Linked DNA regions of Anolis sagrei. The protein of the gene in region 1 interacts with the protein of each later gene in a pairwise test. Links are inferred from orthologs where the notes say so. Each region holds a gene or a part of one and is shown on either strand. Other genes may lie near its edges.

Region 1 (7,413 bases):
AAGAAACAAGAAGAAATACTGTTTACCCACAAGCATCAAGACATTACATATATTAGAAACCAACACTTCCTCATTACTTTATTTTCCAGATCACTAGACTGGGCCACAGCAACGTGTGGTAGGGGACGGCTAGTAATAATAATAAGGTCTATGATACTTTATTATTGTTATATATTATAATACTAGCTTTAAAAATTGGTTGTTTTGGAGTGTTATGTCATATCATTTAGTTAATTAGTAACACTATTTATTAGGAAAAAAACAGTCTTTGATTTATTTTTTCATCAATGCTCCCATTAGGAAATATATAATGATGTGGGTGAACTGCAATTCCCAGAATCGTGGGTCAATCTTCCCCAAAACCAGGCAATGTTGGGACTCTGTGCCAAATGTGGTCCAGAACTGCTAGGTCGGCAGAAGCTGGGGCTAACAGCGAGAGCTCACCCCACTGCCCGGATTCCAATGGCTAATCTTTCAGTCAGCAAGTTCAGCAGCTCAACTGTTTAACCTGCTGTGCTGACTGAAAGGTTGGCCGTTGGAATCCGGGCAGTGGGGCTCCTTTTATTATATATTATTATTGTATATTATTATTATATATTATATATTATTATCTATCTATCTATATTAATGCTCTGTTTGTTTTGAGTGACATCATAACTCAAAATCCGCTGGACGAATTTCCGTCAAATTTGGCCACAAGACATCTACTAACCCAAGGAGTGACCATCACTAAAAAAAATTGCTTTTGCTATTTGGGAGTTGTAGTTGGTGGGATTTAGACCAAACTTGGCACGAATACTCCATATGCCAAATATGAACACAGATGGAGTTTGGGGGAAATAGATCTTAACATTTGGGAGTTGTTGTTACTGGGATTTATAGTTCACCTACAATCAAAGCACATTCTGAACCCCTCCAACAATAGAATTGGACCAAACCTCCCACACAGAACCCCCATGATCAATAGAAAATACTGTGTTTTCTGGTGGTTTTTGGTGATCCTTCTGACACCCCCTCGCGACACCCCCCAGGGGTCCCGACCACCAACTCTCTTCACCAGAGCAAGAAAACGTAATCAAAGCCCTCCTGACAAAGAGCCATCCAATCACAGATATTAACAGATAGATACAATTCACACACACTTATATTTACTAGCTGTCCCCTACCACGTGTTGCTGTGGCCCAGTCTGTTGATCTGGAAAATAAAGTAATGGGAAAGTGTTGGTTTCTAATATATGTAATTTCTTTATGCTTGTGGGTAAACAGTATTTCTTGCTATTTCTTTGTCAGTGTTGATGTGGAGAGTGTCTGGTTTGCCTACTCTGGAATATGCAACATATCATAGTCCTTCTTTAAGGGTCCCTTTCAAATCTATGATACTATATCTGTGTGTGTGTGAATCATATCTATCTATCTATCTATCTATCTATCTATCTATATTTATGGCTGGATGGCTCTTTGTCAGGAGGACTTTGATTACACTTTCTTGCCCTGATGAAGCGAGTTGGATTGGATGGTCTTAAGTATTTTCTGTTGGTTATGGGGGTTCTGTGTGGAAAGTTTGCCCCAATTCTGCTGTTCGTGGGGTTCAGAATGCTCATTGATTGTAGGTGAACTGTGAATGCCAGTGACTACAACCCCCAAATGTCAAGGTCTATTCCCCCCAAACGCCATCTGTGTTCATATTTGGGCGTACTGAGTGTTTGTGCCAAGTTTGGTCCAGATCCCTCATTGTTTGAGTCCACAGTGCTCTCTGGATGTACGTGAACTACAACTCCCAAACTCAAGGTGTGATGTGGAGAGTGTCTGATTTGCTCTCCCTGGAACATGCAACATATCATTGTCCTTCTTTACGGGTCTCTTTAAAATCTGTGATACTATATCTATGTGTGTGAGAGAGAATCATATCTATCTATCTATCTATCTATCTATATTTATGACTGGATGGCTCTTTGTCAGGAGGGCTCTGATTACATTTTCATGGTCTGGTGAAGAGAGTTGGACTGGATGGCCTTAAGTATTTTCTGTTGGTCATGGCGGTTCTGTGTGGGAAGTTTGCCCCATTTCTGTCATTTGTGGGTTTCAGAATGCTCTTTAATTGTAGTGAACTATAAATCCCAGTAACTACAAATCCCAAATGTCAAGGTCTATTTCCTCCAAACTCCATCTGTGTTCATATTTAGGCATATGGAATTTTTGTGTCAAGTTTGGTCCAGATCCATCATTGTTTGAGTCCACAGTGCTCTCTGGATGTAGGTGAACTACAACTCCCAAACTCAAGGTCAATGCCCACCAAACCCTTCCAGTGTGTTCTGTTGGTCATGGAAGTCCTGTATGCCATGTTTGGTTGAATTCCATCATTGGTGGAGTTCAGAATGCTCTTTGATTGTAGGTGAACTATAAATCCCAGCAACTACAACTCCCAAATGTCAAGGTCTATTTCCCTTAAACTCCATCTGTGTTCATATTTGGGCATATGGAATATTCGTGCCAAGTTTGGTCCAGATCCATCATTGTTTGAGTCCACAGTGCTCTCTGGATGTGGGTGAACTATAATTCCCAAACTCAAGGTCAATGTCCACCAAACCCTTCCAGTTTTCTCTGTTGGTCATGGGAGCCCTGTGTGCCAAGTTTGGCCCAATTCCATCATTGGTGGAGTTCAGAATGCTCTTTGATTGTAGGTGAACTATAAATCCCAGCAACGACAATTCCCAAATGACAAAATCATTTTTTTTTAGTGGAGGACATAAATTGGACTGTTAGGTGTCTTGTGTCCAAATTTGGTGTCAATTCCCCCAGTGGTTTTGGAGTTCTGATGGTAGCACGAACTAACATTACATTTATTTATTTATATAGATAATATATTCTATTATTATGTTATACTGTATTATTCTATTACATTAATTACTTTAAATTTTATTATCACATTATATTATATTATAGTTATTTTATATTATTATTGTATTACTTTAAAAATTATATTATCATATTTTATTATATTATTATTATTATTATACAGGAGACCCTTTAGAGATTATTATGTTATACACATACATATATTAATTATCAGTTACTAATTAACAATTTTAATTAAATATATATATTTTTATAATTAAGTACCTTTTTCGGAACTTGCTGCTTTACCGTCTTTCCTCCTCCTTCATCGCCATTTTTAACGGTTTCCCCACTTCTGGCGTCGCCATAGCAACACTTCCGGTTGGGAGCTACGGAAGCCGACGAGGGAGAGAAACCTTTCCTTGTTCTCCCTTCGCGCGAAGGGGGCGTGGCCACTCGCTTTAAGAACCGCTTTCCTTCCTTCCATCCACTAGCACGAAGCGAACTGAGAACGACAAAGGGCTTCAGTATAATTGGAAGCGATCTCCCATCCTACACTTCCGGGTTCCCATTGGAAAGCACTTAATAGGAGTGTTGTTGTTTTTCCCCTTATGCGTGAAATTTGTTTATTTATTTGCTTACGATATTTCTAATCCCGCCTTTCTCAAGCCTGAAGGCAACTCAAGGCGGCTTACAAATTGGCAGCAAGACGATGCCATAACAATTCACAAAATACAAAAAAAAAATTATAAAATCCATACAAAAACAATTAAAAACATAATAAGCAATATCTTCCACTTAAGCTCACTTTCGTCTAAGCCGTTCCATGTTTCAGTCTTACATAATTCCGTGTTTATCTATTGCACTGCATTCCCAAAGGTTTGTTCACAAAGCCATGTTTTCATTTTTTTTGAAGGTCAGGAGGGAGGGGGCCAATCTAATATCCCTAGGGAGGGAGTTCCACAGCCGAGGGGCCACCACTGAGAAGGCCCTGTCTCTCGTCCCCGCCAGCCGCAGCTGCAAAGAAGGCGGGATCGAGAGCAGGGCCTCCCCAAACGATCTTAAATTCCTAGATGGTTCATAAGGAGAGATACGTTTGGACAGGGAAGCTGGACCGGAACCGTTTAGGGCAGTGTTTCTCAACCTGGGGGTCAGGACCCCTAAGGGGGTCGCGAGGGGGTGTCAGAGGGGTCGCCAAAGACTATAAGAAAACACAGCATTTTGTGATGGTCATGGGGATTCCATGTGGGAAGTTTGAGCCAATTCTATCGTTGGTTGAGTTCAGAATATTCTTTGATTGTAATGAACTATAAATCCCAGCAACTACAACTCCCAAATGTCAAGATCTATTTTCCCCAGACTCCACCAGTGTTCACATTTGGGCATATTGAGTATTCATGCCAAGTTTGGTCCAGATCCACCATGGCATGAGTCCGCAGTGCTCTCTGGATATAGGTGAACTACAACTCCCAAACTCAAGGTCAATGCCCATCAAACCCCTCCAGTGTTTTCCATTGGTCATGGGAGCCAAGTTTGGTTCAAATCATTGGTGGAGTTTAGAATACTCTTTGATTATAAGTGAACTATAAATCCCAGCAACTACAACTCCCAAATTACAAAATCAATCCTCCCCCAACCCCACTAGCATTCACATTTGTGTGCATTGGGTATTTGTGCCCAGTGAATGAAAATGCACCCTGCATATCAGATTTTTAAATTATGATACATAACGGTAGTAAAATGACTGTTATGAAGTAGCAACGAAAACAATATTATGGTTGGGGGTCACAACAACATGAGGGACTGTATTAAGGGATCACAGCATTAGGGAGGTTGAGAACCACTGGTTTAGGGCTTTCTAGGCTAAAGTCAGCACTTTGAAATGAATAAAACCCAATGCATTTGTATTTAAGTGACTTATAAATAAACCTATTATATTTTAATAGATATCAAGTTTCGCCTAGATCCAATGTCGGCTGGGTTCAGTGGGTGTGGATGAACTACAACTCCCATATGCAAGTCACATCGTCCATGGTACGTCCTCCTCCAAATCGCACCAGGATGTAAAGTCAGTCATGGTGGCTATGTGTGCCAAGATCTGTCATTGGTTTGGGTCACAGTGGTCTCTAGAAGTGAATGAAGATACTGCATGTCCCATTATCCATGGTCCAAAGTCTTCCAAATCACACTAGCATGTAGAGTGCGTCATGGGGGCTCTGTGTGTCAAGTTTGGTCCTGATCTGTCATTGTTGATGGTCACAGTGGTCTCTAGAAGTGAATGAAGATACTGCATGTCCCATTATCCATGGTCCAAAGTCTTCCAAATCACACTAGCATGTAGAGGGCATCATGGGGGCTCTGTGTGTCAAGTTTGGTCCTGATCTGTCATTGTTGATGGTCACAGTGGTCTCTAGAAGTGAATGAAGATACTGCATGTCCCATTATCCATGGTCCAAAGTCTTCCAAATCACACTAGCATGTAGAGTGCGTCATGGGGGCTCTGTGTGTCAAGTTTGGTCCTGATCTGTCATTGTTGATGGTCACAGTGATCTCTAGAAGTGAATGAAGATACTGCATGTCCCATTATCCATGATCCAAAGTCTTCCAAATCACACTAGCATGTAGAGTGCATCATGGGGGCTCTGTGTGTCAAGTTTGGTCCTGATCTGTCATTGTTGATGGTCACAGTGGTCTCTAGAAGTGAATGAAGATACTGCATGTCCCATTATCCATGGTCCAAAGTCTTCCAAATCACACTAGCATGTAGAGTGCGTCATGGGGGCTCTGTGTGTCAAGTTTGGTCCTGATCTGTCATTGTTGATGGTCACAGTGATCTCAAGAAGTGAGTGAAAGTACTGCAAGTTCCATCATCAATTTATCCTCCTCCTCCAAATAGCACCAGTGATACCGAGCGCAGCTCAGACCTCTGCTTTTAAATTAAATTGACCTGCAGCAGGGATTTCCGCAGTTCCTGGAAGCAAGGATTGGGCCAAACTGATTAAATGAGCCCCAACAGCGAGCTCAACCAGGACTCAAAACAGCCCTATGCTTTCTCTTCCCACTTTCCTACCCAGCCCCTACTTTGTAACAAAACCCCAAATAAAGATTTATGAAATTGCAACTTTTAACCCTCTAGCTTGATACTTTGGTTCTTTCCTTGCCTGAACTATCTAAATGCTTGAAAATAATCTTTCCCAGGCCGCAGGAGACTGCAGGCTTGCCCGGAATGCCTTCCTGGCATTCCGGGGAGGCCGAATCTGCACTTTTCTAACCGCGGATACTGAGTCTTCCCCTCTGAGTCATCCGCGAGATGGCCAAACGCCCCCATTTCGGTGGCATATTTTTCCTAGCTTAATTCTAACCCTATCTGCTATCTCGCTTTTTGCCTTTTGGACTTCTACACTCGGGAAATAACCAATTTAAGAATATATTTTGCGAGGAACAGCTGATTGTCAAAAAGCTGGCTCCGTTACTTCTGCGCTGCTGCGCCCCGCCATCTCATCGCCTCCGCCAGACCCATGCCCCCGAATACTTGGTGTGGTTACCCCATAAGGCTCACGGGGAAGAGCCTGGCCTGGAGGCCCAAGTCCTTGGAAGGAGTTATAGTTCCCCAAGGACAAAAGACCAACTTGATCTTGACATTGCTGGAATCCATCCTTTGGCTCAGTGGAAATGATCAGACACCTTTTTGAGACTTTTTGGCTTTCTTTAATCCCCTTTTCTTGCTCCTATGAACTCATTCCCTACATATGAATTGCCCCACATGAACCATGGACTCACGTCTTAATAAAATTATATTAACCAATTTCTCTGGCAGGTGGGGGGAGAGAAGGGAGGTTGACATGAATTTATCTGGATTCCTGTTTCTTTTCCCAAGTATTTTTCCTTGGCACCCCACCCCTCGCCCCTTCATAGTAGGAGAGTCACCTCAAGGAAGCGGCCAGCTGTTGGAAAGGCAATCAGAGGCAACAAAGAAACACATATCCCAGAACTTTGGCGTGGACAATAAGACCTGGAATCTCCATGTGGTTCCAGGATTATGGCCATCAGTCTGGAATGTCCTTGGCAAACCTTTGGCCATCTTCACAATAGGAGCGAGACGATCCTTGGGGGGTCGCCTTCCCAATTTTGCTTACTCCATTCATAAACCAGACATTTCCCCAAGCCACCCTTTGTGCCTTATCTGATTGTGGCTGGAGACCAGGATAAAGGTAATCAAAGATCATCGCAAATCCACTCAAGGACAATAGGGTGGGCATCGCACCCATTGATTCATTCGCCGGCTCATTGTTTCTGTTTCGTCCCGCCTCCCTTCTCCTGATTCGCCAAGGCGCTGAAGCGTGGAAAGTTTTCCCAATGGCCCCTGTGAAGCGGGGGAGCTCCGTGATTGGCATTGAAGCAGGGCGGCCGGCCGTGCCTCCTCCCAGCTGGAATCTCATCAGCCAATCACTGGCGAGCCGGGCGGAGGGCTGGGGGCGGGAATTTTGAACTTTCAAACCTGGAAATTCCTATAAAAATGCCTCTGATCTCTGTACTGGTATGCTCTGTAGACGAATTATCGCTACTTAGCATCCTTTT
Region 2 (8,004 bases), on another chromosome or scaffold:
CAGTCGTCTCCGACTCTTCGTGACCTCATGGACCAGTCCACGCCAGAGCTCCCTGTCGGCCGTCACCACCCCCAGCTCCTTCAAGGTCAGTCCAGTCACTTCAAGGATGGCATCCATCCATCTTGCCCTTCGTCGGCCCCTCTTACTTTTACCTTCTACATTCCCCAGCATAATTGTCTTCTCTAGGCTTTGCTGTCTCCTCATGATGTGGCCAAAGTACTTCAACTTTGTCTCTAGTATCCTTCCCTCCAATGAGCAGTTGGGCTTTATTTCCTGGAGGATGGACTGGTTGGATCTTCTCGCAGTCCAAGGCACTCTCAGAACTTTCCTCCAACACCACAGCTCAAAAGCATCTATCTTCCTTTGCTCAGCCTTCCCTAAGGTCCAGCTCTCACATCCGTAGGGAATACCATGGCTTTGACTAGGCGGATCTTTGTTGCCAGTGTGATGTCTCTACTCTTTACTATTTTATCGAGACTGGACATTGCTCTCCTCCCAAGAAGTAAGCGTCTTCTGATTTCCTGGCCACAGTCTGCATCTGCAGTAATCTTTGCACCTAGAAATACAAAGTCTGTCACGGCCTCTACGTTTTCTCCCTCTATTTCCCAGTTGTCAATCATTCTTGTTGCCATAATATTGGTTTTTTTGATGTTTAGCTGCAACTCAGCTTTTGCGCTTTCTACTTTCACCTTGATTAGAAGGCTCCTCAGCTCCTCCTCGCTTTCGGCCATCAGAGTGGTGTCGTCTGCATATCTGAGGTTGTTAATGTTTCTTCCAGCAATTTTCACCCCAGATTTGTATTCATCAAGCCCCGCACATCGCATGATGTGTTCTGCATACAAGTTAAAAAGGTTGGGTGAGAATATGCAGCCTTGCCGTACGCCTTTCCCAATCTTGAACCAGTCTGTTGTTCCGTGGTCAGTTCTGACTGTTGCTACTTGGTCCTTGTACAGATTCCTCAGGAGAGAGACAAGGTGGCTTGGGATGCCCATCCCACCAAGAAGTTGTCACAATTTATTATGATCCACACAGTCAAAGGCTTTAGAATAGTCAATGAAGCAGAAATAGATATCTTTCTGAAACTCCCTGCCTGTCTCCATTATCCAGCGGATATTGGCAATCCCCAAAGAGAATAGAATCATAGAATCATAGAGTTGGAAGAGACCTCATGGGCCATCCAGTCCAACCCCCTGCCAAGAAGCAGGAATATTACATTCAAATCACCCCTGACAGATGGCCATCCAGCTTGGCTCACGAGGCCAAGTCCAGCGATACATTACAGCAACATAAAATATAAACAACAAAATAATATCACAATAAAATAAATAAACCAATCAAATAAACAATACAAAATAACATAATGGAAAATCAAATACAGTGGGTGGGCCAATTGCATGACATAAAATGATAAAACTCTGGATGAAATAGCAATTGAAAAGGTATATTTGTGGGGGAGGAGCTCGTAGGGGACTGAACAGTGGAATATGATTTTCAATACAGCAAAATATTAAGAAAATCAAAATCAAAAACATAGATGATTTCCATAATTATAGAATGGGTGCTGAATACTCTGAAATGCAGTAGTCAAGAGCTTTCTAAACGACCCTTTAAATTCAAAGAAATTACAGTAATCAACTAAATAAACAGATCAAAACAAGCACAAAACTGCACACAACAGGAAAACTTACACTAAGAATAAAAATGTTAAACACATTGAAATGATTTCCAACTTATACCTGGGAGCCCCTGGTGGCTCAGTGGGTTAAACCACTGAGCTGCTAAACTTACTAACGGGTCACAGGTTCAAATCTGGAGAGCGAGGTGAGCTCCCGCTGTTAGCCCCAGCTTCAATTCTCCTGTTTCTGAATGCTTATGATAAAATTAAACTTCTTAATAAATTGCAACTCTCTTCCTCTCTCCCTCTAATCTCCATCTATAAATCCCATCTCCTAAATGACAAAATCAACCCTCCCCCAACCCCTCCAGCATTCAAATGTCGGCGTATCAGATATTTGTGCCAAATTGGTCCAGTAAATGAAATACATTCTGTATTTAAGATATTTACATTACAATTCATAACAGGAACAGAATTACAGTTCTGAAGTAGCAACAAAAATAATTTTATGGTTGAGGGTCATCACAACATGAGTAACTGTATTAAGGGGTTGCTGCATTAGGAAGGTTGAGAACCACTGATCTATGGCAAGCATCCTCAGAGGTTGTAGGGTGACAACAATCCTATCTCTTCATCCAAAAGCAGGCCCACACTTCCCATTGAAATACTAATAAGCTTATATCTGTTAAAATTGTTCTTTATTTATTGTATTGTTTTAAAGTGTTTTTTTGCACTACAAATAAGATATGTGCAGTGTGCATAGGAATTCATTTATGATTTTTTTCACATTATAATCTGGCCCTCCAACAGTTTGAGGGACCGTGACCTGGCCCTCTGTTTAAAAAGTTTGATGGCCCCTGCTCTAGTGTGATGAAGTAGTAGAGAACACAATTCCTTTGATGCTACAATGTATCTCCATTTTTGGGACTTTGTCAACATTTTCCCCTCCAACACTATACTAGGTACAGTGTTCCCTCACTACTTCACTTTTCACGGACTCGCTGTTTCGCGGTTTTTCAATAAATACAGTAATGTATATATTTACACTGGAGCTACGTCTCTCCTTGCCACGTGCATCGTGGGATATGCCAGCCTGGGAAGCCGCCTCCTGCATTCACCCCACTTGCCCAACTCCTCCTTCTCGCCTTCTTCTTTCTCCCCCTCTTCCTCACTTTCCTCTGCAGATGGGAGCCTGTCCGGATTGAAAGCGGGAGAAGGAAGGGAAGGATGATGGACAGGTCTAGAGGGGTGAATGGCAGGTGGGTCTTGAGGGAGGAGGGGGGACCCACGCAGAGGCGGCTCTAGGTATTTTCAACGGTAAGCAAACAGTATCCCCCCCCCCCAACCACCAACCAATCACTGATATATGTTTTCTGTTTGTCATGGGAGTTCTGTGTGCCATATTTGGTTCAATTCCATCATTGGTGGAGTTCAGAATGCTCTTTGATTGCAGGTGAACTATACATTCCAGTAACTACAACTTGCATATGTCAAGGTCTATTTTCCCCCAAGAGCACCTCAAGAGTGCCCTGGGCAAAATCAACTATACTGCAAATGCTTACTTTGCGTAATGGGTTGAGCCGCCCCTGGACCTGCGTGACATCACGAGACCAACCCAGTGCATGGAAAGAAAGGCAGGAGAGGCATAAAGCTTCCTAAAAAGAAAAGGGTGTCAGGATATACTCAGAGGATGAATACACACCAAAAATGAGAGTAGGACTTTTGCAATGGCAGCTTGAGATGCTACTTAAAAACCTGGATGTTCGAACAGGCATTTGGTTAATCGGTGCAATGAATGTGATGATTACAGGAATGGTAATATGGACGACGAAACTGGATCACGATTTTAGTCATGAGATGCATTGGGTTGTTATTGTTGTGTCAATATTGTGTATTATGCTTTTATGGTTTTAAATTGTATATTGTTGACTGTTGTACCTTTGTTGTAAACCGCGTTGAGTCGCCTGTTAGGCTGAGAAACTGTGGTATACAAGTAAAGTAAATAAATAGTGTCCCTACTTAGTGGATTTTCACTTTTTGTGGGTGACCCTGGAAAGTAACAGCCACAATAAGTGAAGGAACACTGTATCTTTCTTTTCCTTTGAAAATTCTTTCCTTTGAAACTCTGCATCAGTGCAGAGATAATAAAAAGAACAAATAAAAGGGAGTAACCTCTCCTATACTCTATGGCAGGGGTCCTCAAACTTTTTAAACAGAGGGCCAGGTCAAAGTCTCTCAAACTGTTGGAGGGCCGGATTATAATTGTGGAAAAAAATGAATGAATTCCTATGCACACTGCACATATCTTACCTGTAGTGCAAAAAAATAAATAAAATAAAAACAACACAATAATTAAAATGAAAAACAATTTAAATAAATATAAACTTATTGGTATGGACCTGCTTTTGGCTGATGAGATAGGATTGTTGTTATTGTTGTGTGCTTTCAAGTCATTTCAGATTTAGGTTGACTCTGAGTGAGGGCCTGTTAGATGACCTTGGAGGGCCATATGCGGCCCTCAGGCCATAGTTTGAGGGCCCCTGCTCTATGGGGCCAAGAGAGACCCTGACTTCTCCCTTATTTCTAACTATGAACTTATGATGGAACCTCCCTTAGTTCCTATCCCTGTGTCTTTATTTTATTGCTTTATTTTGATATCATGGAATACATTAAATAGAAGGCAAACCAAAATGAACTCTTTTAACCTCTTGAGCAATCTCAAATTATTCCAGGATTTCTCCTCTACTCTGGCAGAAGGCATGGCCAGGGCAAAAATCTGTTGGACAAAGGTCTTCCCTAGCACGCAGCGGGAGCCCATCCATTTGCTGCCTGAAATGCCCCCTTTGGGGGACTCAAGCAGCTCACTGGACAAAGACTCGGGAAGAAACATTGATGATATACTCTTCAAGATATTTCCAACAATAGTTATTTAACCATTTAACTCGAAAAAGATATAAATAATACACCCATTTCAGGTTTTCTTTCAAATTGTAACCCACACTCTTCTCTCTTCCTCATATAATCATTGCCACACAATCCTTTCTCACGTTCTGATTTGATCACTTCGAAATCTCCATCCTTTTTAATCTGCTTTGTATCTTTCCAAGATTAGTAAATTGGGAAACTATCATTACCCAGTAAGAAACATTTTGATCCAGCGCTTGTGAAGACTGATCTTGCCAATTAGCATTAAAAGTCAAACCAAGTAAAGGTAGGAGGAACATCTTGTCTACGGAGAAGAGGGAGTTGTAGCATCATCAGAGATAAAGCAGTGGTCCGTTGCTAGGATACCAAACAGAAGCTTCCAGGTCTAACGGCTTCTCTGAGCATCCTCAGTTGATGAAGCCATACTGAAGAAAGAGACATTACAGTTTGGTACATCCTTGGGTTCAAGTGTAAGTTTGCCTTTTGATAAATACTTTTTTCTATCATGATATGTAGATTCTCTTAGTGATGACAGTTGGGTGGCTTCTCATTTGAACTAGAATTGATGCTGAGAGAGTCCGACTGGGGGGTGCTTCATACACCAATCTCTGGTAAGGTAAAATCGCCATGGGCCCAATTAATCCCAATATCCCAATGTAGCATCTTGTATGATGTTGTGTTATAATCTGAAGGTTGGAAGGCTAGTGTTTGAATCTCAGGCATAGAAACCCACTGGGGAACTTTGGGCATTTTCTCTCAGCCTGAATAATAATAATAATAATAATAATAATAATAATAATAATTATTATTATTATTATTATTATTTTATTTCTTACCTGTCTCTCCTCGTGGCTTGATGCAGGTTTTTTTTTTTGTCGTGTCAGGAGCGACTTGAGAAACTGCAAGTCGTTTCTGGTGTGAGAGAATTGGCCGTCTGCAAGGATGTTGCCCAGGGGATGCCCGGATGATTTGATGTTTTATCATCCTTGTGGGAGGCTTCTCTCATGTTCTCTCATGTTCCCGCATAAGGAGCTGGAGCTGATAGAGGGAGCTCATCCGCCTCTCCCCGGATTCGAACCTGTGACCTGTCCTGCATCACCGGGGGCTCCATTGAGACAGGTTACAGCATAATTAAAACACATGAATATCGTAGAAATTCTATACACACATGTTCAGATAATGCAACAAGCCTTTATTTTCTCTGTCTTATAAATGGAAGAGTGTTTAGTGAGTTTTTATGGGGCTTTTGGCTTACACACACACCTACACCCATATATATATGCTGTGTGATCAATGAAAAAATGTTTCAAAATTCATTACAAAATTAGGGGGTGTTGATGTTTCATTTCTAAAGGGTTTCTAAAGTATCGTTAGTAAAAATTTAATTACTGTAATGAGAGTAACAAAATTTTGTCACTTTTTCATTATAGTAATTGTGCAAGTAGGGAAACTTCAGAGGCCCCTTTCTGCCTCATTGGCATGAAACTTGCTATGATTATAGAACATATTTACCACTGTTAGCCCATGGAGTTTCAGAATGTTTCACCCATCTATGGATTTTTTTGCAAATTTTCAAAAAAAATTACAAACAAAATTAAAAAAATACAAGAGGTGGCTCCTTGAATTTTCTATACAATGGCACAGGATAACAGGGGATCATTCCCCCCAACTTTCCAAAATATTCATGCATCTACTGATTTTTTGGATTTTTTTTAAAAAATGACAAAAACTTTTTTTAAAAAAACCCCACAACAGCTATTTCATTGAATGTCTTTAACCAACAAAACTTCAATTTAGGGATTTCTTTACAGCCCAGCAGAAATTTATTTGCTTGTATCAGTTAGTCCTCCTCTTTGCAAATTCAACAATTTCTTGGAACTCTGGCTACTTCTATGAGGAACCAATCTCTCCCCTATCCCGCTTGGGGCTTTCTGATGCTTATTATTATTATTATTATTATTAACTTTATTTGTACCCCGCTAGCATCTCCCGGAGGACTCGATGCGGCTTACACAGGCCGAAGCCTCAAACACAATACAATAGAGAATATAACATCACAACAACAAGGCAAATCAAACAGTAAGCAAAATAACATAACACCGCAATACTAAACAAATCAAACAATATGCAAAATAACAACAATAGCAGTACATCAGGACATTATTAAAAACTGGTTCGGCCGGCGCACTGGGGTACAAGGGTTAAAAGTGCTGAATGGCAGGAGGCACGTAGGGTTAAAAGTGCGATGTGCAGTGACAATTTGTTATGCTAAGGTGCTACTAGGACTTGGGGTGGGGATTCCTAGAATTCTGGGAAATGTAGTTTAGGGCAGGACCTTTTGAATTCTCTGCCATAGGGCTCCTCGGCTTTCCAAACTACATTTCCCATAATTCTGTTTTCTCTTAGTCTCTTTCCCAGCTCACTCAGCTCATGTTGCCCTGCTGCTTTCCTGTCCTCATAGCAAGAAGCAGCCTATCATTTCTTAATTCAAATAGGAATGACAGCTTTTTTGGCTTCACCTCATTTGAAGTGAAAATAAAACTGACTTACAAAAATTACAGCATTCAAACAAAAAAGTATTGGGTGAGTTTTAATTCTTAAGTTTTTGTGTGGGCACCCCCCCCCCTTGTGTTTCCTAATATCTGTTTGTTTATGAAAAACTGACAAATTACATAGATACATATTTAAAACATATTTCTGTAAAATACTTATTAAAATGCACATAACAGAGATTAAACACAAGACACAAGTATAAAATTCATGCTTACAACTGACTGGGAAGGCTCTCTGAACAATTTATATCATGATAGGTTTGCCTTGAAGTCACCATAAGTCAGGCACACAACAGCAACAGAGATGAATTATGATCACATGCAATGGTCTTCAATGTTGGGCAATGCTCATATTCACAAGAATCCAGCAAGGGCAGAGTTCCCCCTCCAGAACCATTGTGCAAATGGATCCAAAAGCATGGGTGTCAAGTCATGCTTCCCATTGTATATACAATAGGCATCCAAATGCCATGCGACTTGTTGTTCAATGGGAATTTCCATAGAGCAACACGATACTGCTCAGAATACACAAAATTTTGTATTTTTTCACCTGTTCTCAACCTGTGGGTCCCCAGGTGCTTTGGCCTACAGCTCCCAGAAATCCCAGCCAGTTTACTAGCTTTTAGGATTTCTGAGAGTTGAAGGCCAAAACATCTGGGGACCCACAGGTTGAGAACCACTGTTAGAGTATTTTAACCCAGTGGTTAAAATGTCCCTGTCAGAGCATACAAGTTTTCTAGACAAATGCAATAATGCAGTGGGACTTAGCTTAGTGTGCTTTCTCTCCCTGTGTCCTTATTTTTCACTCGTTTATATTTAGATAACTTTTTGATCCACAAATGTCCTCCAAGAATCTTATAGTAAGGGAAAAGGTAAAAAGAAAGTAAGAAGGGGGGGGGGGGGAGAGAGATA
Region 3 (7,871 bases), on another chromosome or scaffold:
GATATAAGTTGATTTTTTCCAGTCTGATGGCCATTCTTGTGTTTTCCATATTTGCTGGCAAATGGCATGCATCACCTTGACAGCATCATCTTTTAAGATTTTAAACAGTTCAGCTGGGATCCCGTCATCTCCTGCTGCCTTGTTGTTAGCAATGCTTCTTAAGGCCCATTCAACCTCACTCCTCAGGATGTCTGGTTCTAATTCATTCACCACACCGTCAAAACTATCCTCAATATTATTATCCTTCCTATACGTAGGGCGCTTGCTTTCTAGCTATTGGCGTTTTACATTTTTTTCAATAGGAAGTAATAGAAAGATTTACAAGCCCTCTAGTGGGGATTCCAATTACTGCTTCAGCAACCAGGATGCAGTGACTTTCCCCTCAACACGAATATTATTTGGACTATTATTACTATTATCATTCTTTGTTCATGCAATTTTTCCCAAGAAGCTTAAACATAACATAAAGCAACACCCCGCCCCTCAACAATAAATGAAACTATAATTCAGGAAGACACCATACAAGCCCTCCCGACAGATGGCCGAACTCCCAGGCAGCATACTCTACTCTTAGCTTTCCAGATGGGTAAGAAAAACAACAACAACCATATATTGACTCAAGAATGGGAATCTATTTACATGTTTAGCAACCCATTTCCATTTGGTCTGAAGTCCAGTGAGAATACACATATGAACATAAGAATGGGAATCTCTATCGAAATATTCTCAAATTGCGGTCTTGTTTTGTTCCTTGTTCTGCATGGTCTGAGGTCCAGCAACAAAGGATATATTTGCATGCAAATGGGGATCTATTTACATGTTTATTCTTAAATTCTGATCTTGTTCCATAGGGCCGGAATTCCAATCAGAATACACATATTGACTTAAGAATGGGAAATCTATGTACATATTTATTCTCAAATTGCAGTGTGGCTCCATATGGTCATCTGAAGTCCATAATACATACATAAAAATGAGAATGGGAATCTATTTACATGTTTATTCTTAAATAGCGGTCTTGTTCTATTCGTATTTCCACATAGTCTGAAGTCCAGTGAGAATAAACATATTGATATAAGAATGGGAATATATATATATATATATATATATATATATATAGATTCTTAAATACTGGTCTGTTTCCATATGGTCTGAAGTCCAATGAGAATACATAAACATGATGGGAATCTATTTACATGTTTATTATTAAATAGCAGTCTGATTCCATTCCTAGTTCTACATAATCTGAAGTCCAGTGACATAAGAATGGAAATCTATCTACATATTTATTCTCAAATTGTAGTCTGGTTCCATTCCTAGCTCCACATGCTTTGAAGTCCAGTGACAATGCATGTATTTGCATAAGAATGGGAATATATCCATGTATATATTATTAAATATAGTTCCATATGGCCTGAAGTCCAGTGAGAATGCATAAACATGAGGATGGGAATCTATTTACATGTTTATTCTTAAATAGTCTTGTTCCATATGGTCAGAAGACCAGTCAGGATACACATAATTGCATAAGAATGGGGATATGTCTATATATTTCTCCTCAAATTGCGGTCTGGTTCCATATGGTCGAAAGTCAATTCAAAATACACATATTTGCATAAGAATGGAAATACATCTACATATTTATTCTTAAATATCAGTCTTGGTCAACATAGTCTAAAGTCCAGTGAGAATGCATGTATTGGCGTAAGAATGGGGACCTGTCTACATATTTTTCCTCAAATTGCAGTCTGGTTCCATATGGTCGAAAGTCCATTCAGAATACACATATTTGCATAAGAATGGGGATTATCTACATATTTCTCCTCAAATTGCGGTTTGGTTCCATATGGTCAGAAGTCCATTCAGAATACATATATTTGCATAAGAATGGGGACATATCTACATATTTATTCTTAAATAGCAGTTTTGTTCCACATAATCTGAAGTCCAGTGAGAATACATGTACTGACATAAGAATGAGGATTTATCAACATATTTCTTCTCAAGTGGCAGTCTGATTCCATACTTTGTTGTACTCAGTCTAGGGTCCAGCAACTGCCTCTGTCTGCATAAGAAGGGGCCCTATCTGCATGCCTGTCTGCAAGCAGGCCTTGTTCCTGGGCCACTTCTCCTCTTGACCCAACCAAACACCTCTTAATTTATTCTTAAGTAGCGGTTTGGTTCCATATGGCCTTAAGTCCAGTGAGAATACACAAACATGAGAATGGGAATCTATTTTCATGTTTATTCTTAAATAGCAGTCCTGTTCAATATGGTTGGAAGTCCATTCAGAATACACATATTTGCATAAGAATGGGGATTATCTACATATTTCTCCTCAATAGCAGTCTGGTTCCATATGATAGGAAGTCCAGTCAGAATACATATATTTACATAAGAATGGAAACATATCCACATTTGTTCTTAAAAAGCAGTTTTTTTTTCAACATAGTCTCAAATCTCTAAGAATGGGGATCTATCTACATATTTTTTCTCAAATGGCAGTCTGATTCCACGCCTTGTTGTATTTGGTCCAAGGTCCAGCAACAATGCCTCTGTCTGCATAAGAAGGGGCCCTATCTGCATGCATGTACATAAGCAGGCCTTGTTCCCGGGCCACTTGTTCTCCTGTTCCTGGCTCTCCTCCCCTTGACCCAGCAACACAACCAAATGCCTCTTAATTTATTCTTAAGTAGCGGTCTGGTTCCATATGGCCTGAAGTGAGAATACATAAACATGAGAATGGGAATTTATTTACACGCATATTCTTAAATAGCAGTATGGTTCCATATGGCCTGAAGTCTAGTGAGAATACATAAGCATGAGAATGGGAATCTATTTACATGCTTATTCATAAATAGTAGACTGGTTCCATTCCTAGTACCACATATTCTGGAGTCTATGAGTTGACATATTTCTTCTCAAGTGGCAGTCTAGTTCCACGCTTTGCAGTAACTGGTCCAAGCTCCAGCAACAATGCCTCTGTCTGCATAAGAAGGGGCCCTATCCGCATGCCTGTCCGCAAGCAGGCCTTGTTCCTGGGCCACTCCTCCTCTTGACCCAGCAACACAGCCAAATGCATCTTAATTTATTAAGTAGCGGTCTGGTTCCATATGACCTGAAGTTTGGTGAGAATACATAAACATGACAATGGGAATCTATTTGTACGCATATTCTTAAATAGCGGTCTGGTTCCATATGGCCTGAAGTCTGGTGAGAACACATAAACAGGTATTGACATAAGAATGTGGATCCATCTACACATTTATTCTCAAATGGCGGTCTGATTCCACGCCTTGTTGTACTTGGCCCAAGGTCCAACAACAATGCCTCTGTCTGCATAGGAAGGGGGCCTATCCGCACGCCTGTCTGCAAGCAGGCCTTGTTCCTAGACCACTCCTCCTCTTGACCCAGCAACACAGCCAAATGCCTCTTAATTTAATTTAGTATTGGTCTGGTTCCATATGGCCTAAAGTTCAGTGAGAATACATAAACATGAGAATGGGAATCTATTTACACGCTTATTCTTAAATAGCAGTCTGGTTCCATATGGCCTAAAGTCCAGTGAGAAAACATAAACATGAGAATGGGAATCTATTTACACGCTTATTCTCAAATAGCAGTCTGGTTCCATATGGCCTGAAGTCCGGTGAGAAAACATAAACATGAGAATGGGAATCTATTTAAATGCTTATTCTTAAATAGTAGTCTGATTCCACTCCTAGTTTCACATAGTCTGGAGTCTATGAATTGACATATTTCTTCTCAAGTGGCAGTCTGGTTCCACGCCTTGTTGTATGGCCTGAAGTCCAGTAAGAATACATAAACATGAGAATGGGAATCAATTTACACGCTTATTCTCATATAACAGTCTGGTTCCATATGGCCTAAAGTCCAGTGAGAATAAATAAACACGGGAATGAGAATCTATACGCTTATTCTTAAACAGCGGCCTGGTTCCATTCCTAGTTCCACATAGTCTGGAGTTATGAGCTGACATATTTCTTCTCAAATGGTGGCCTGGTTCCAGTAACGACGCCTCTGTCTGCATAAGTAGGGACCCTAGCTGCAAGCTGGCTTTGTTCTCCGCCTCCTCTCGACCCGGCGACACAGGCCAAGGCCTCCCCGAAGCCTCAGAAGATCCTGCAGGCGCGGATCATGAGGAGTTGGAGCAGGATGAAGACGGGCGCCATGATGAGGCCGTACCAGAGCTGCTCGCGGCCGGGCTTGGGCTCCTGGCCCAGCTTCTGGCAGAGCAGCATCTCGAAGACGAACTTGAGGCTGAGGAGGGTGAGCACCCAGAAGAGGCGCAGCACGGCCAGCCGCTTCTCGCCGTCCTGGAAGAGCCGCACCGAGACGATGGCCGTGAAGTAGGTGCAGAGCCCGTCGGCGGCGAAGAGCGGGCCCAGCGCGCCCCACCAGCTCAGCCCCGCCGCCGCCGCCCCGCCGTCCGCCTTCAGCGCCACCAGCGCCGACGCCGCCAGCAGCGCCAGCCCCTGCAGGAGCAGCTCGAAGGGCGCCAGGCCCAGCCACTGCACCGCCTCCCGCAGAGAGAACAGCATCCCGAAGCCTCAGGACGCCGGCCCCGCCGCCGCGCGCTTCCGCTTCTGCCGCGGCTTCCGGCGCGCGGGGGTGACGTCGGGACGTCCCGAGCGAGGGAGGCGCCGACACTTCTGGGCGCGAGGCAGTGACGTTTGCGGCACCGCGATGCCGGCTCAGGTGAGGCGCTGCTGCTGCTGCGCGCTTCTGAGGGGGAAAAGTAGGAGCCTTCAAGTGGAGTGAATCCGCTTTGAATCCGGTTTCTGCCTACTGCAGAATTCTGGGGTTGGTAGTTTAGGGTGTAGGAGCCTTTTCACATCCTCACTAAACTACAAAACCCCAGCATCCTGCAGAATTGAAAGTGGATGGAGGTAGTTCTGCCTTGGGCCCTTCCACACAGCCCTATATCCCAGGATAGCAAGGCAGAAAATCCCACCATATCTGCTTTGAACTGGGTTATCTGAGTCCACAGTCAGGTAATGTGGGATTTCCTGCCTTGATATTCTGGGATATAGGGCTGTGTGGAAGGGCCTCCGGTTGTCGTGGGGCCAGGGCTCACTCTCCACTCTCATCTTATCTATCTATGTGTATATAGTCTGTTGGCTCCCTCTTTCCCTCTCAGTTGTCGTGGGGCCAGGTCTCACCCTCCACTCTCCTCTATTTATGTGTATATAGTACGTTGGCTCCCTCCTTTCCTCTCAGTTGTCGTGGGGCCAGGGCTCACCTTCCTCTCTCATCTAATGTATCTATCTATCTATGTGTATATAGGCCATTGGCTCCCTCCTTCCCTCTCAGTTGTTGTGGGGCCAGGGCTCACCTTCCACTCTCATCTCATCTATCTATCTATGTGCATATAGTCCGTTGGCTCCCTCCATGAAAATGAACAAAATCTGGCTACCAGTATTAAAAAAACTCTAAAATTAAAACAGCACAACAGAGAGGAAACAAACAAGGACATCTAATCACCTCTCAACAAAAGTTTGCTCCAGGCACTGTCAGGCCATTATATGCTAATCAAGGTAGTCAGTTGAAACATTCACACCTAGCTCCAGGAGACAAGAGTCCTTTGTCCTACCCCGGTCATTTCACAGATATATAAACCTTTTTTCCTAGTCCCAACAGAAACCTCTGTTGGATGCTTGCCATAGATGCAGGCGAAACGTCAGGAGAGAATGCCTTTAGAACATGGCCATATAGCCCGAAAAAACCTACAACAACCCATTATGATGTTCTGGTTGCATCTTTGTTGTTGTTGTTGTTGTTTATTAGTTCAATCACTTTAACCTTTTTGTGACCTCATGGACCATCCCACGCCACAGCTCTCTGTAGGCCATCACCACCCCCAGCTTCTTCAGAGTAAAGCCAATCACTTCAAGTAAACGTCTTCTGATTTCCTGGCTGCAGTCTGCGTCTGCAATCATCTCTTTGTCTAGAAATACAAAATCTGTCACTGCTTCCACGTTTTTGATAGAACACAATAACTATGTTCTTAATTTGAGAAAGAGCTGCATGATAAACCAGTGGCCAAGAGAGAAGCCTTGGCTTTCTGCTTTCACTAAATGGGGTGTCTCTGCTTCTCTTCTTCCAGATGGAGGATCGGAAGATGTTGGTCCTCTTTGGCAGCCAGACAGGGACGGCTCAAGATGCGGCTGAAAGGGTCGGCCGGGAGGCCAAGCGGCATCACTTCCGGTGCAAAGTGGAGGCCCTGGACGACTACTGTGTGGTGAGCAGCCCGGCTGCCCTTCCAGCTTCCCCCCTTCAAGATGGGTGTCTTTAACAGGCCAAATAATCCCAGAGGAATACCCCAAATCGAATATCATGCACAGCTTTTTGGGATAAATACCTTCGCCAAAATGGGGGTGCATAGTAGATTTGATGGCAAATTAGACTAAAATCAATATTGTAATTGTTTGAGAAAAGTAAAAAGTATGGGACAGCAATTGCTTGATAAATTATTGATCTTTTCTCCAGGCTTCCCTCATCCATGAACCGTTGGTGGTGTTTGTCTGTGCAACAACGGGACAAGGAGACCCTCCTGATAACATGAAGGTCAGATTATTATTATTATTATTACTACACTATACAAACAATTTTAAAAAAATCTGTTCCTGGTTTGAAAGTGTTATTTCCTGTACTTAATTTGAAAGTAGTTGTTCTACTCCAGAAACTTTGTTTTGGAGGCTGCCACAAACTAGGTTGAATTGGTTGAGATTCTGTGAGATATGCTTTCAAAAACTATAGCAAAATGTGCTGCAGGATATCCCAAAGAAACAAAGTTTTTGCAGTTTAAACAACATTTTTCATGTTTTTATGATAGTATCAATTAGGAAATGTTATTTATAACTCAGGAACAAAAATGTGTTATGTAGTGCTATTATTAGTATCATAGAATCAAACCCCTCCTGACAGATGGCCATCCAGCCCCTGTTTAAAAGCCTCCAGGGACTGAGCCTTCACCGGATTCAGAGGCAATGAGTTCCACTGTTGAACAGCCTTACAACCAGGAAGTCCTTCCTTATATTCATTATTATTATTATTAGCTGTCCCCTGCCATGTGTTGCTGTGACCCAGTCTGTGTATATGTGTTTTGTGTATGTATACATGTGTGTATGTGTATATATGTGATTTTGTGCATGCGTTGTAATGTAATTTTGGGGGGGGGGGGTTGGCTTTTTAAGTCCCTTCTGCTGTGTTTTTCAGTGTTTTTTATGAGTGATGGTCACTTGTGTCCAAATTTGGTGTCAATTCACCCAGTATTTTTTGAGTTATGTTAATCCCACAAATGAACAATACATTTTTATTTATATAGATTGTTATTAATATGCCACTTTTTCTTTCTAATATCTCACTTTTTCTTAAAGCGGCTCACAATAAATCCAACACAGTACAATAAACCAATATAATACAGATATCCTCCCATTAAGAATATTTGGACCCTAACAGGAGAAAAACCAGCCAGTACTATATATGAGTTTATGGTAGGAAAGAGGAGAGAAAAGACACAGGTAAATATCATTTTTTAAAAAAAATATTTACTCTTGAAAGGAATACATCTCAGATAAAAAAAAGAGTAGATAGACAGAAGAAAAGTTACCTAACTTGGGTACAAGAGTTACTAATGCTGACACTTGTGTTTTGGTGTCATAATAATAATAATAAGCTCAATGGAAGCAATACCACCAAGGCCATAAACATCTGGGCCATACTTGTCATAAGATATACTGCTGGCATCATAAACTGAACACAGGCGGAACTGGACAGAAAAACAAGAAAACTCATGACCATTCATTATTCACTGCATCCTCGCAGTGATGTTAACTGGCTATATCTGC

Evidence for each region.
Region 2: the proteins of TCHP (region 1) and DYDC1 interact in binary tests that used the Homo sapiens proteins (3 or more experiments, as listed by UniProt). The two-hybrid records come from large-scale screens. The link is inferred for Anolis sagrei from reciprocal best matches to the Homo sapiens genes TCHP and DYDC1.
Region 3: the proteins of TCHP (region 1) and NDOR1 interact in binary tests that used the Homo sapiens proteins (3 or more experiments, as listed by UniProt). The two-hybrid records come from large-scale screens. The link is inferred for Anolis sagrei from reciprocal best matches to the Homo sapiens genes TCHP and NDOR1.

What each region holds. Positions count from the first base shown.
Region 1 is NC_090034.1:61,406,027-61,413,439, forward strand, and holds the start of TCHP (trichoplein keratin filament-binding protein), read right to left. Parts: upstream 3,229-7,413; 5' UTR 3,121-3,228; intron 1-3,120. UniProt on the Homo sapiens protein: Tumor suppressor which has the ability to inhibit cell growth and be pro-apoptotic during cell stress. Inhibits cell growth in bladder and prostate cancer cells by a down-regulation of HSPB1 by inhibiting its phosphorylation.
Region 2 is NC_090023.1:155,234,553-155,242,556, reverse strand, and holds the start of DYDC1 (DPY30 domain-containing protein 1), read left to right. Parts: upstream 1-4,755; 5' UTR 4,756-5,010; intron 5,011-8,004. UniProt on the Homo sapiens protein: Functions as part of axonemal radial spoke complexes that play an important part in the motility of sperm and cilia. Plays a crucial role during acrosome biogenesis.
Region 3 is NC_090031.1:15,456,247-15,464,117, forward strand, and holds the start of NDOR1 (NADPH-dependent diflavin oxidoreductase 1), read left to right. Parts: upstream 1-4,622; 5' UTR 4,623-4,707; coding exon 4,708-4,719; intron 4,720-6,127; coding exon 6,128-6,262; intron 6,263-6,510; coding exon 6,511-6,588; intron 6,589-7,871. Other genes in the region: TMEM203 (transmembrane protein 203), read right to left, coding at 4,134-4,562. UniProt on the Homo sapiens protein: NADPH-dependent reductase which is a central component of the cytosolic iron-sulfur (Fe-S) protein assembly (CIA) machinery.